3 linked regions of the Arabidopsis thaliana genome follow. The protein of the gene in region 1 interacts with the protein of each later gene in a pairwise test. Each region holds a gene or a part of one and is shown in the gene's direction. Other genes may lie near its edges.

Evidence for each region.
Region 2: the proteins of EIF4A-III (region 1) and MAGO interact in a two-hybrid assay, tested with the Arabidopsis thaliana proteins (one study listed by BioGRID).
Region 3: the proteins of EIF4A-III (region 1) and Y14 interact in a two-hybrid assay, tested with the Arabidopsis thaliana proteins (one study listed by BioGRID).

What each region holds. Positions count from the first base shown.
Region 1 is NC_003074.8:6,861,734-6,865,488, forward strand, and holds the start of EIF4A-III (eukaryotic initiation factor 4A-III), read left to right. Parts: upstream 1-1,927; 5' UTR 1,928-2,056; coding exon 2,057-2,364; intron 2,365-2,676; coding exon 2,677-2,998; intron 2,999-3,253; coding exon 3,254-3,361; intron 3,362-3,465; coding exon 3,466-3,585; intron 3,586-3,755. Other genes in the region: AT3G19740 (P-loop containing nucleoside triphosphate hydrolases superfamily protein), read right to left, coding at 1-122, 216-310, 430-554, 644-1,197.
Region 2 is NC_003070.9:402,472-405,994, reverse strand, and holds MAGO (mago nashi family protein), read left to right. Parts: upstream 1-1,538; 5' UTR 1,539-1,593; coding exon 1,594-1,809; intron 1,810-2,047; coding exon 2,048-2,224; intron 2,225-2,468; coding exon 2,469-2,528; 3' UTR 2,529-2,895; downstream 2,896-3,523. Other genes in the region: ALG12 (homolog of asparagine-linked glycosylation 12), read right to left, coding at 44-102, 230-347, 510-565, 679-765, 885-930, 1,042-1,083, 1,153-1,238, 1,326-1,368. UniProt on the Arabidopsis thaliana protein: Core component of the splicing-dependent multiprotein exon junction complex (EJC) deposited at splice junctions on mRNAs.
Region 3 is NC_003070.9:19,103,332-19,107,086, reverse strand, and holds the start of Y14 (RNA-binding (RRM/RBD/RNP motifs) family protein), read left to right. Parts: upstream 1-2,153; 5' UTR 2,154-2,333; coding exon 2,334-2,604; intron 2,605-2,917; coding exon 2,918-3,054; intron 3,055-3,563; coding exon 3,564-3,718; intron 3,719-3,755. Other genes in the region: AT1G51520 (RNA-binding (RRM/RBD/RNP motifs) family protein), read right to left, coding at 1-298. UniProt on the Arabidopsis thaliana protein: Core component of the splicing-dependent multiprotein exon junction complex (EJC) deposited at splice junctions on mRNAs.

The sequences.
Region 1 (3,755 bases):
TCCTCTTCGCTCTGAGCACTAGAATCTTCCTCAGCATCAGACTCTGTCGTGGATTCATCTGCTTCCGCTTCTGCGTTCTCACCATCAGATTCAGATTCTTCATTGTAGTCATCAGCAAAATCCTGATCCAGAATTAAAAAATATTACATAAACACCAAAAAGAACGAAAGAAAAATGGTGGCATGTTATAGGCAAATTACTCATAAGAATCTCACATATGGGGCAAGAACGCTGCTGTCAAGAACCAACAGGGGAACTTGTACATCTCGAGCAAGTGCTCGTACCAACCTCTCCCGGTAAAGCTCAGTACCTGAATAAAATTCAAATTTCTTATTGGTCATCTAACATTTCCTCAATATTTTTACTTGATAACAGAAGAGCAACATCAAATCCTGGTCTGCCATTTTTATTCTATAGTCAATAACAAACCTGGAACACTCTGGAGCAATATTCTTCCACTTGAAGAATCTAAACGGGCACCATATATGGAAGCGGCATTCTTTTGTCTTATATGTGAGGTAACACATTCCACCAAAATATCTTTCGTGTGGTCGCTGTGAAAAGATAATGAGCAGAATCCATAAGCAGAAATGGAGAAAGAAACACAACAAGCGAGAAAAAAAAACATGTTGTAGATTATTACTGGATGTAGTAAGGGAAGGTCTCCCAAGAAAGCTGTATTTTTTCCCAAGGTTGGATTCTCCGTAAGAACTCGTTTTTGAATCTTTCTCGTCTATTAACGAAAGGTGACTCCTTCTTTTTGCATTCACTAGCAAGCTTCTCATTATTGAGCCATTCTATTTGGTCTTGTTCTCCAAGTTGAGCATGAGAATCCAAATGCCCAACACCGTTATTACTTTTCTCCTTCCCGGTTTTTCCATCATCTACACCATTCTCTTTGTTCAAAGAGATATGTTTATCCTCACTAGCATTCCTTCCATCACCCTCAGAACTAAAACTACGCAACTGGCTATTCTTCAAAATACTTAAATGATTTCCCGAGGCAATAGTACCACCGCGGGGAGAAAATGAACCAAGTAGAGACTTTCTTGTCAAATTTTCACTATTGGTTAATTTATTTGTGAATCCACAATATCTGGAAACCGTATAGTCACGAACGACTGGCCTAACTAAGTACTTGGCTTGCTGCAATACCAAACCCCATCTCTGGTTCCTCTTTAATGCCCTTGTATACATCACAAAGTCCCTTCTCTTCCAATATAACTACAAAAAAAAAAACAGAGATCATTGATTTAGAATCACTTTCAGGGTCCATTTCTTGTACTATCCAACCTAAATGCATTGCAACATGTAATTGCACCATTAAAAAAAAAAAAAAACGAGATCAATATCAACGCAAAACATACTATAGTAACTCGGAAAGAAACATAGATTCTATACAATTTATTTCGACTAGAGGAATAACAACACACTTCAGGGAATTAATTGATTAAGAACAGACATCAATTAAAATGAACGATTATGACGCATAACGGAAAATCCAATGTAACAACGAATATGAGGCATCGATATAGAAATGATGATATATTCAGCTTTTGTCATCCATAACTATTACAAAACACGAACCGTTTAACAGAGATGGACAACAAAACTGGTTCTATTCATCCCCCAAGCTCTAAGAATCAGGCTTGGTGCAAAGAGGAGATGTAATTAGGAACGAGATAGGGTGAAGAAGAGAGAGAAAATCCCGACAGAGGAGAGAGAGATAAAGACCGATCTAAAGTCTGTAGGTTCTTCTTCTGAAGCTGAAGCTGGGTTCGAAGTTCAGCTTCGTTGATGCAGTGTTGTCGTTTTGACGCAAAATTGCTACTTGCCTTCCTATGGATATGGGCCTAACTATAAAGGCCCACTAAACATATAAGAGTCGGTATTTTCCTGACAAAAAAGCCCTAACAAGTTGTCGGATTTACAATCGTACCCCTATTTTTAAGCCGCGCTTATCTCGAACCTATACCTGTAGAGAGGAAATAAGCATTTGGGGGAAATCAATCGAAAACCCTAGGAGAGATAAAAACAAAAATCTAGACGGAGATTTATGGCGACAGCGAATCCTGGCCGTGGAGGTGGTAGAAGAGGCGGTGGAGCTATGGATGACGATAAGTTGGTCTTCGAGACTACCGATGGAATTGAGCCCATCACGAGCTTCAATGATATGGGCATTAAGGAAGATGTGCTTCGCGGTGTCTACGAATATGGATTCGAGAAGCCTTCCGCGATTCAGCAGAGGGCTGTTATGCCGATTCTTCAAGGACGTGATGTTATTGCTCAAGCTCAGTCCGGTACCGGGAAGACATCTATGATTGCTCTCTCCGTTTGTCAAGTCGTTGATACTTCTTCTAGAGAGTATGTTTTCTGTTCCTTTAGCTGGATTAAACCCTTCATTTCAATTTTGAACTTTACTTGCTTTGCTCGGATTGTTCTCTAACCTAAATCATTAGGTTTTGTTTCTTATCGATTTCACAAATTTGGTGGGATTTGTTTGTCTGACTTGTAGAATAGATGAACGAATTATGATTCATTAATGTTCAATCAAAATGACAATGAAAATTTGTGATAGTTATTAGCTTTTCGGTTAGAGTGATTGAGTAATACTTTCTTTTAGGCTGCAAGATCTTTTTATATGTGTACTCATGTATTTGGTATCTCGGACTGCAGGGTTCAGGCCTTGATATTATCCCCAACAAGAGAGCTGGCTACACAAACAGAGAAGACGATACAAGCTATTGGATTACATGCCAATATTCAGGCACATGCTTGCATCGGTGGGAATAGTGTTGGAGAAGACATCAGGAAGCTGGAGCATGGTGTTCATGTTGTGTCTGGGACACCTGGTCGTGTCTGTGACATGATAAAGAGGAGAAGTCTTCGTACCAGAGCTATTAAACTTCTGATTCTTGATGAATCAGATGAAATGCTGAGCAGAGGGTTCAAGGACCAGATCTATGATGTTTACAGATATCTTCCACCAGATCTTCAGGTGCAATTTCACTGCTCAATATTATGTGTTGGCTAACTTCTAGTTTCTTTGGATGTTATTGCATTAGCTTTCTTATTTTATGGATTGGCTTCTTGAACTCTATGTGGATTGAGAGAATTATAAGTTGTTAAAAACCTTTTAGCCACTGTTAAGTTGCTTGAATGTCTTATGTGTAGATTTGGTAGCTATTATCTGTATTATGAACAGCTAAATTCCACTCTATAATAGTTCAATCCTAATACGTTTTTTTTGTAGGTTTGCTTGGTTTCTGCAACTCTTCCTCACGAGATTTTGGAGATGACATCCAAGTTTATGACAGAACCAGTGAAGATACTTGTGAAGCGTGATGAGTTGACTCTTGAAGTATGTTTCTTCTTATGCTTCTGTATGCTCGTTCATGTTTACTTTTACAGTAGGTTGACACTCATATTCTTCATTGGCTATCTTTTTGTGTACAATCTTTTCAGGGAATCAAACAATTTTTTGTTGCTGTTGAGAAGGAAGAGTGGAAATTTGATACACTCTGTGATCTTTATGACACGCTTACTATCACTCAAGCTGTTATCTTCTGCAATACTAAACGAAAGGTAATTGTGGTTCTCATGCAACTGTATCTCAAACTTGTTAACATTAAGCTTCTAGCACTGCTATCTGAACTTGATTTGCAATCTTGTAATTGCTCAAAAATTCATACTATCTTGTGAATATATGTATTTCTTTATTTCTAAAAGAAATTAACAATATAAGTCCACTGCGC
Region 2 (3,523 bases), on another chromosome or scaffold:
ATCTATAATCGAGAAAATATGTCACCACAAAGATAATACATACCAGGAAACTCAAAGCTGGATAAAAATTTCCCTTTAACCAATTACCATATGCCAGATTGACTGCAAAATCAAAATTTAAAAACATAAGCAGAACCTAGTAAGGCCTACGCTAGATGGGTCATGGGAAAGATTGCTAGGACATCTGAAGGACCACTACTAGTAGAGTAAGATGAATAGAAGTAATTACCTAATCCCAAAGCTAGAATATTAGGAAGAGGACGAGTGCAGTAGAAAAGAAAATGAAACTGAAGACTGGTGAAAAGTACAAAGAAAGTTTCCACTTGATTTCCAAACTTTTTTTTTATCTGACAAACCAGTAGATTTTGGTCAGTGGCAGTATATAGGAGAAAAACAGCCAACAAGATGCATGTAAGAGATCCCAATTCCAAGGACATGGGAAGGGACAAAGAATCAGATAGGGGAGTCAGAAGTGTGGTATGGAAAGAAGCACTAAAGGAACTTCATACCTGAATCCGGAAAAATCTTAGTGTGGACAATATGATGCAGCCCAACACCAAACGAGCTGCAAGACAAAATGATAAAACTATGATGTGAATTGGTTTTGTCTGTGTTTAGGGGAAAATAGTTAGCGATTCATTAAGGAATTATATAGGGAGGGAGAAACAGAAGAGAAACCTGCAACAAGGCTATAAACCTTGGGGAAGCCAAGGCAGCTGATAATTGATACAACAGGTGATGCAAAAACAGAGACTATGAAGGCTCCTGCAAGAACAAATCAGAGTGGAATAAAAAAAAAACCATCCACTAATGTATAATGATAAAAAAAAAACCATCAACAGGTGATGCAAAAACAGAGAGCGAAATTCAACAGCCCTCCTTACCAATAAAAGTTCGAGGGACAACACCGGGGAACTCCAAATGATCATACTGATAGGAAAAAAATAAAAAGACAGAAGTCGGTAAAAATTGACATCACTCTAGAGATAAAAAAAAAAAGAGTAAAGCTTCAGAGAAGAAGTAAAAAGAGAGGTCACTCACAGAGTCCAAATGATGGCGATGGTAAAGAATGTCGTGCATTGACTTGAGACGAGTGAAACGGTTTCAGTAAAACGGAGAAAGAGTGTGACTCTAAATACTTTGAAAACCTACCTGAACGTTGAAGCTCTCTTCCACCTTAGTATATGGTGCCATGACCACATAGATTGCAGCTACAGATCCCAGAATCAAATCATATCCTGCTCCCACCAATCGAAAGTTTCAGTTATATAAAAAAAGAAAAAGAGATCATCTGGCCGCCTAAGAAGACGAAACGAAGAAATTACCATAGGATTGAAGAAACTTGGCCATTTTCGAATCCGTCGGCATCGTCTCTGTATCGGGGAATCGGAAATCAGGCAGCCCGGATACACACACAATTTCGATGGAAACAGAAAAACTAAAACTGGGCCTTAACTTTTCGGGTTACAAATGGGTTCTGGCCCAATATGTAAGCCCATTACCTTTTTTCTTTTGCGGGGACGGACTTAAAGAAGGGCAAAGGACACGGAGAGGTAATCTCGATCTCGAGAAAGAAAGAAAAAAAGAGAAGGCATGGCCGCGGAAGAAGCGACGGAGTTCTACCTGAGATACTATGTCGGTCACAAAGGGAAATTTGGACACGAGTTCCTGGAGTTCGAGTTTAGAGAGGACGGTAAGCTCCGTTACGCCAATAACTCTAACTACAAGAACGATACTATTATCCGCAAGGAGGTATTTCTCACCCCCGCCGTGCTCAAGGAATGCAAGCGTATCGTCTCCGAGAGCGAGGTCCTTTTTCTCTCTCTCTTCCGATTTGCTTCTCTCTTGTTAATTGTCCGCGTTTTGGTCAATCGACGCTATAATAGCCAATTAGGGTTTTAGTGATTTTGCTTCGATTTTTGTCGATCTAGGGCATCTTTCCTGACTAGTGTTGTAGGTTTAGAACCCTCTTCGTTGTTAATGCTATTATCTAGGAATAATGGATGATTTTGTACAACCTGACATGTGATTATTTGTCTGCGGGTAGATTCTGAAAGAAGACGATAACAATTGGCCGGAACCTGACCGTGTTGGAAAGCAAGAGCTCGAGATCGTCTTGGGTAATGAGCATATCTCATTCGCTACATCTAAGATTGGATCTCTTGTTGATTGCCAGAGCAGTAATGATCCTGAAGGACTTCGCATCTTCTACTATCTTGTTCAGGTCTCCTCTCTTTTTCTTCCACCCCTTGCCTTACCATCTTTTCTTTTACCTAATCCCTTAACTCTATTGGACTCGATTATATATTTAGGACTCTGCCTTTTAACGTATTCACTGTCTCAAACTTTAACATTTAGGGTTTGGCTGTTAACACTCATCCCTTACATGGTTCTGTAGTTTTTTTTTTTTTAGTTTCTGTATTTATTTGTGCTCTAACATATTCCTTTTGAAACTTTCATGGTTGCAGGACTTGAAATGTCTTGTTTTTTCGCTCATCTCTCTGCACTTCAAAATCAAGCCTATCTAGAGAAGAAAATCAGTTTGTGACATGTCAAGACGCGATGAATTTGTTGGGAACATGAGGACTTTGTGACTGAAGTTTGGTTGTTTTTATGTCTCTGGTTCTCTGTTTTTTTTTTTTGTTGGATTTGGGTGAAAGTGGGTATGTAAGATGTTCTACCTCAACTTTTGGTCCTTTTTTGTGTCAACATCCCATGTGAAGAACCTTTCATGAACCACAACCTATCTTCTAAAAACCATATACTTGCTGTTTTCTTATCACAAATCATTCACTCTCCCTAATGTACATCTACATATGATGCATGTTTCTTTTCCCTCAAGCCAATTTAAACTAAGGAATGTGATCTATCTAAAATACAAAGTATCAAAAACTAGCTGGATTAGTCGATAATTAGGATTGTTTCCATTCTAAAAAAACGCCCTCGGACCATTCAAACTGCTCCTCCAAAACCCGTAAATCTGGTTTTGCATTGAAGATATCAAGAGTAGCTTTTTATGAATCGGGAAGAACAATGGAGGATTCATTTGTCAGTGTCAGGCGGATTACTCACAGCCTAGACAGAGGACGCACCTGCCATTCATCCTCAGGTTAAGCACGCACTAGTCTCCTTTACCTTGTTGTAGTGTGTTGCAGAGAGTCACATGCATATTTCATCTTGTGGCAGGATCAGGTGCATGGTTAGGGCGGGGACTGGCTTGTGTTTGTGCACAGAAAAGGGATCACCACTCTCGTTATTCCTTTGATCTCACCCCTGCTCAGGCACCAACTAGCATCAGCTAGTTAGTTAGTTACCTTTTAAGATGGTCGGGGAAACATTAGTAGCTGGTTAGTTAGTTAGTTACAGCAGCTTTGGGTTAAGAGAGATAAACGCGAAGCCATATATATTGACAATTGGATGGTGTATAATTTATTGTTAGAAAACGAGTCCGCATTTGATATTCGATATTGCATTGCGTTCAAGGTGATGGATGATAAGTGGCTCACAATGCGGGATTCCTACA
Region 3 (3,755 bases), on another chromosome or scaffold:
ACAAAGGGTTACTAGGGTTTCTCGAGAACTCTAAGAACCCATTTCTGGGAGAAGACGAGGACAATGACTGGCCATGGATATTGATGGGTCTCGAGAAACCGTTCGAGGAAAAACCTAAATCGACTTTAGCTTTCTGACAGAAAGTCTGTATGAGAGAGTCAGGACCAAAAGCAATTCGAATCAAATCTCTTTGTTCCATGTCTTGCAAGAGAAAATAGTCAATGACTCTGGAAGCGTTCTCAAGTTCGAAAGTTCTGATCTTTGAAAAGATTATTGAAGTTGGGTCGCCAGGATCCATGGCCGGAGAAGTTTTGTTTTTCCCCACAAGATGGTGAAGAAGACGAAGAGAAAAAAGGTGAAGGCTCTTTTTGGGTTTGCGTTAAATCATAAATGTATGTTTCTTTTAGAATTTTGTATGATTTTGTCTTTGTAAAAAGCATTTAGCAAAAAAAACAATTTTTTTTAAAAATCGAACCTTTTTTGTTTTTATTGTTCTTTGAAACTGTTATCGATTTTTAGGGATATTCAAGTTTCGTAAAGAGCGAGATTAGAATGGAAAGAAATCATATATATTGACCTGATTATTTTGGCAAATTAAGAGCATTAACAGATTTTAAAAAGATTGTAGTAACAGATTTTAGTAGGTATCAACACTATGTATTCCCTTTTTCATGGATAAAGTAGCTTTTTCAATACATTGTTTTCGTTTTTGTTTTTTTGTTTATTAGATTGATTTGTTAGAAGAACAATTTATATTTGCAGTAAAAGATTATTGGAGATAATTAAATTATTTAGTTAAAATAATTTATATAAAGTAATTTTTTAGTTAACTAAATTATTTGACCCCAAAAAAAAAAAGAAATTCTTGGTCTGCCACTTTCTATACTCTATACTAATAAAGATTTTAGTTTCTTCACCTATAGTAATGGGAATCACTTGGTTCCAACAAAATTGATAATTACAACTGTTTGGTGGATTTAATTTTTTTTTTCTCCCAAACTCTTTGGCGTTACAACCTGCAAGTAAAAGGGGAAAAATGAGGTCAAAAACTCTATCAAAAAACAAAACCAAATGAATAAGGGCCAGGCTTATCCCTGAACATAGCTAAGTGAAAACTAGCATTGTGATGTATAGATTATATAAATCTTAGGACCTGCCCGTAAAGAAAAAGTATACTCTATAAATATTAGGACCTGCCCGTAAAATATTTTTTGCCCTTAACTCTCATGACCGGGCCAGCTAAAGACAAACGGTCACTTGAACTGTGAAGTCTACTATTTTTAGTATAGGGCTCATCGACAACAATTACCCTATCCCATCCCATAAAACAAAATTTTGTCAGGCAGCTGTTCTTTTCCCCGTCACACCAAAACTCGCGCATGACATTAATTTTTCCTCAACACTGTAACGAGTGTACGGTCTTCGGTTACTTCATTTCCAAATCCTACCCGTTAAGATTATCTTTAGATATTATATCAACGGTCGATATAGCTTCTTTAAGGACACGTGTGTTGTTAAATAGTTGTCGTAAATTGACCAGAGTTTTGTACTACTTTAGTCAACAGAACCAGACAATAAATGTTTTCCAAATTAATGCTCTCCCCTCCTCTAAATGACGTAAGTAATTATTGGCGACGAACTAAGATTTGTTTTCTTTAAATGCTTTGCATCTCTCTATGTTTTCTTTCTTAGAATTTGGTCGAACATGTTGGACGAGATTTATTTGAGATTAGAGTGGGAATTAGAAAGCAATATTCGACTATAATGATTGTATGCAAACGGATAAAACAATGATGATCACCATCAAAGAGATGGACCAGTATCGACTGTAAAGTGTTAAATACCACAATATGATTGATAGTATCCTAATTATGAAGTGATACAATAATTTGACATCATGAATGCTTAAAAAGGTATGCCATGATTCACTCTCGACATATGAAATTCAGATAATGTAACATTAACAAGAGAAGTTTTCATCAAAGGCTTAAGCCTGTTTTGTAAGAAACCTAAAAAATCAAAGGCTTAGCTTACTCTGAAGCGTGAAAGAATAAATAAAAAAAGTAAGAGCCCAAAATAAGCCCACTAACATTGACGAGAGGAGTTTAATCAAAGCCTGTTTAAAAGGGAAAAGGAAAAACTAGCGTGAGAAAGAAATACAAGCGTAAAAGCCCAAAATAAGCCCACTTAAGGTCCAATATATTCCTATAAACAACACTGGCAGAGAAATATCTTGATAGAAGAAAGAGCTCCGTCCCCAAAAACAAAGGAAACAAAAAATCAGTCGGCGAAACGGGAAGAGATCTATCGGAAATCTTACGGCGGCGGAAGTCATGGCGAACATAGAATCAGAAGCAGTCGATTTCGAGCCAGAGGAGGATGACCTTATGGACGAAGAAGGTACAGCTATTGACGGAGCTGATGTTTCTCCACGCGCGGGACATCCGAGGCTTAAGTCGGCTATTGCCGGAGCTAATGGCGAATCAGCAAAGAAGACCAAAGGCCGTGGGTTTCGCGAGGAGAAAGATTCCGATCGTCAGCGTCGTCTTTCCTCACGCGATTTCGAATCACTTGGTTCAGATGGCCGTCCTGGTCCGCAGAGATGTAATTTCACTAAATCTCTTCCTCTTTCGCTGTTTTTAGTTAGGTTTTAGTGTTGGCATACTGATTCTTCGCGTTGTTGATTTATTTGTGGTAGTAATTTGTTCTAGGGTTTCTCATAACCCCTTGTGTTTGGGATTCAATTTGACCTAGAAGTTTTTTGAAAAAAATTAGATTGGTTTAGATTTAGTTTGTAACCATTATAAAAAATGTAATGGTTCTAGAGTCTGTGAAGATAGAACATAGTTTCTTTGAGGGTAATGAAGAATTGGGACTGTTTTGGATGAATTTGTTTGTTGTGTGTGTTTATGTGTAGCCGTTGAAGGATGGATTATCTTGGTCTCTGGAGTTCATGAGGAGACACAGGAGGAGGATATAACCAATGCTTTTGGTGATTTTGGGGAGATTAAGAATCTAAATCTCAATCTCGATCGCCGTAGTGGTTATGTCAAGGTATGGAGTTTTGCCTTTGTTTCTTAGTGGCTCTTGATGTCATTATGCCTTTTGGTTAGTTATTGTGAAGCTAATTTTTTTGCTTAGTTATGTTGATATCATTTTGCCTTTTGGTTTGTTATAGTGAAGCTTGATTTGTTGGATTGTTGTCATGATGTAATTTAGAGATGAATGCAATACTGTTTTGTCGTAGATGTTGACTTTACTCTTTGACATGCTTTGTGTTAATCAATGTAATACTGAATATCTGAAATTGAGAGCCAAAAATGATAAATTTATCTTTGCAATGTTACATTGCTTTTAAGAGGGAGATGTAATATTCTGTAAAGTGCAATGCTGTTCCCTAAGGACACTTCGTTTAAGTTACTTCAAAGTGTCAGAAATGACGGGTCGAATAAGATAAGCTGTCTTCTAGATGCGAGTTTAGGAATCAAATATTATTTTTCTTTAGTTTGCTTGAGTTCTCATGGAAGTGGAAGTAACACTTTGCTTTTGTTTTTTTTGATAAGGGATATGCTTTGATAGAATATGAGAAGAAGGAAGAAGCACAGAGCGCTATTTCAGCAATGAATGGTGCTGAGCTTCTAACACAGAATGTTAGCGTTGACTGGGCCTTCAGCAGCGGTCCCAGTGGTGGTGAATCTTACAGGAGAAAGAACTCGAGGTTTGTATCCTAATCTCTTTTCTGTTCCGCTACGACT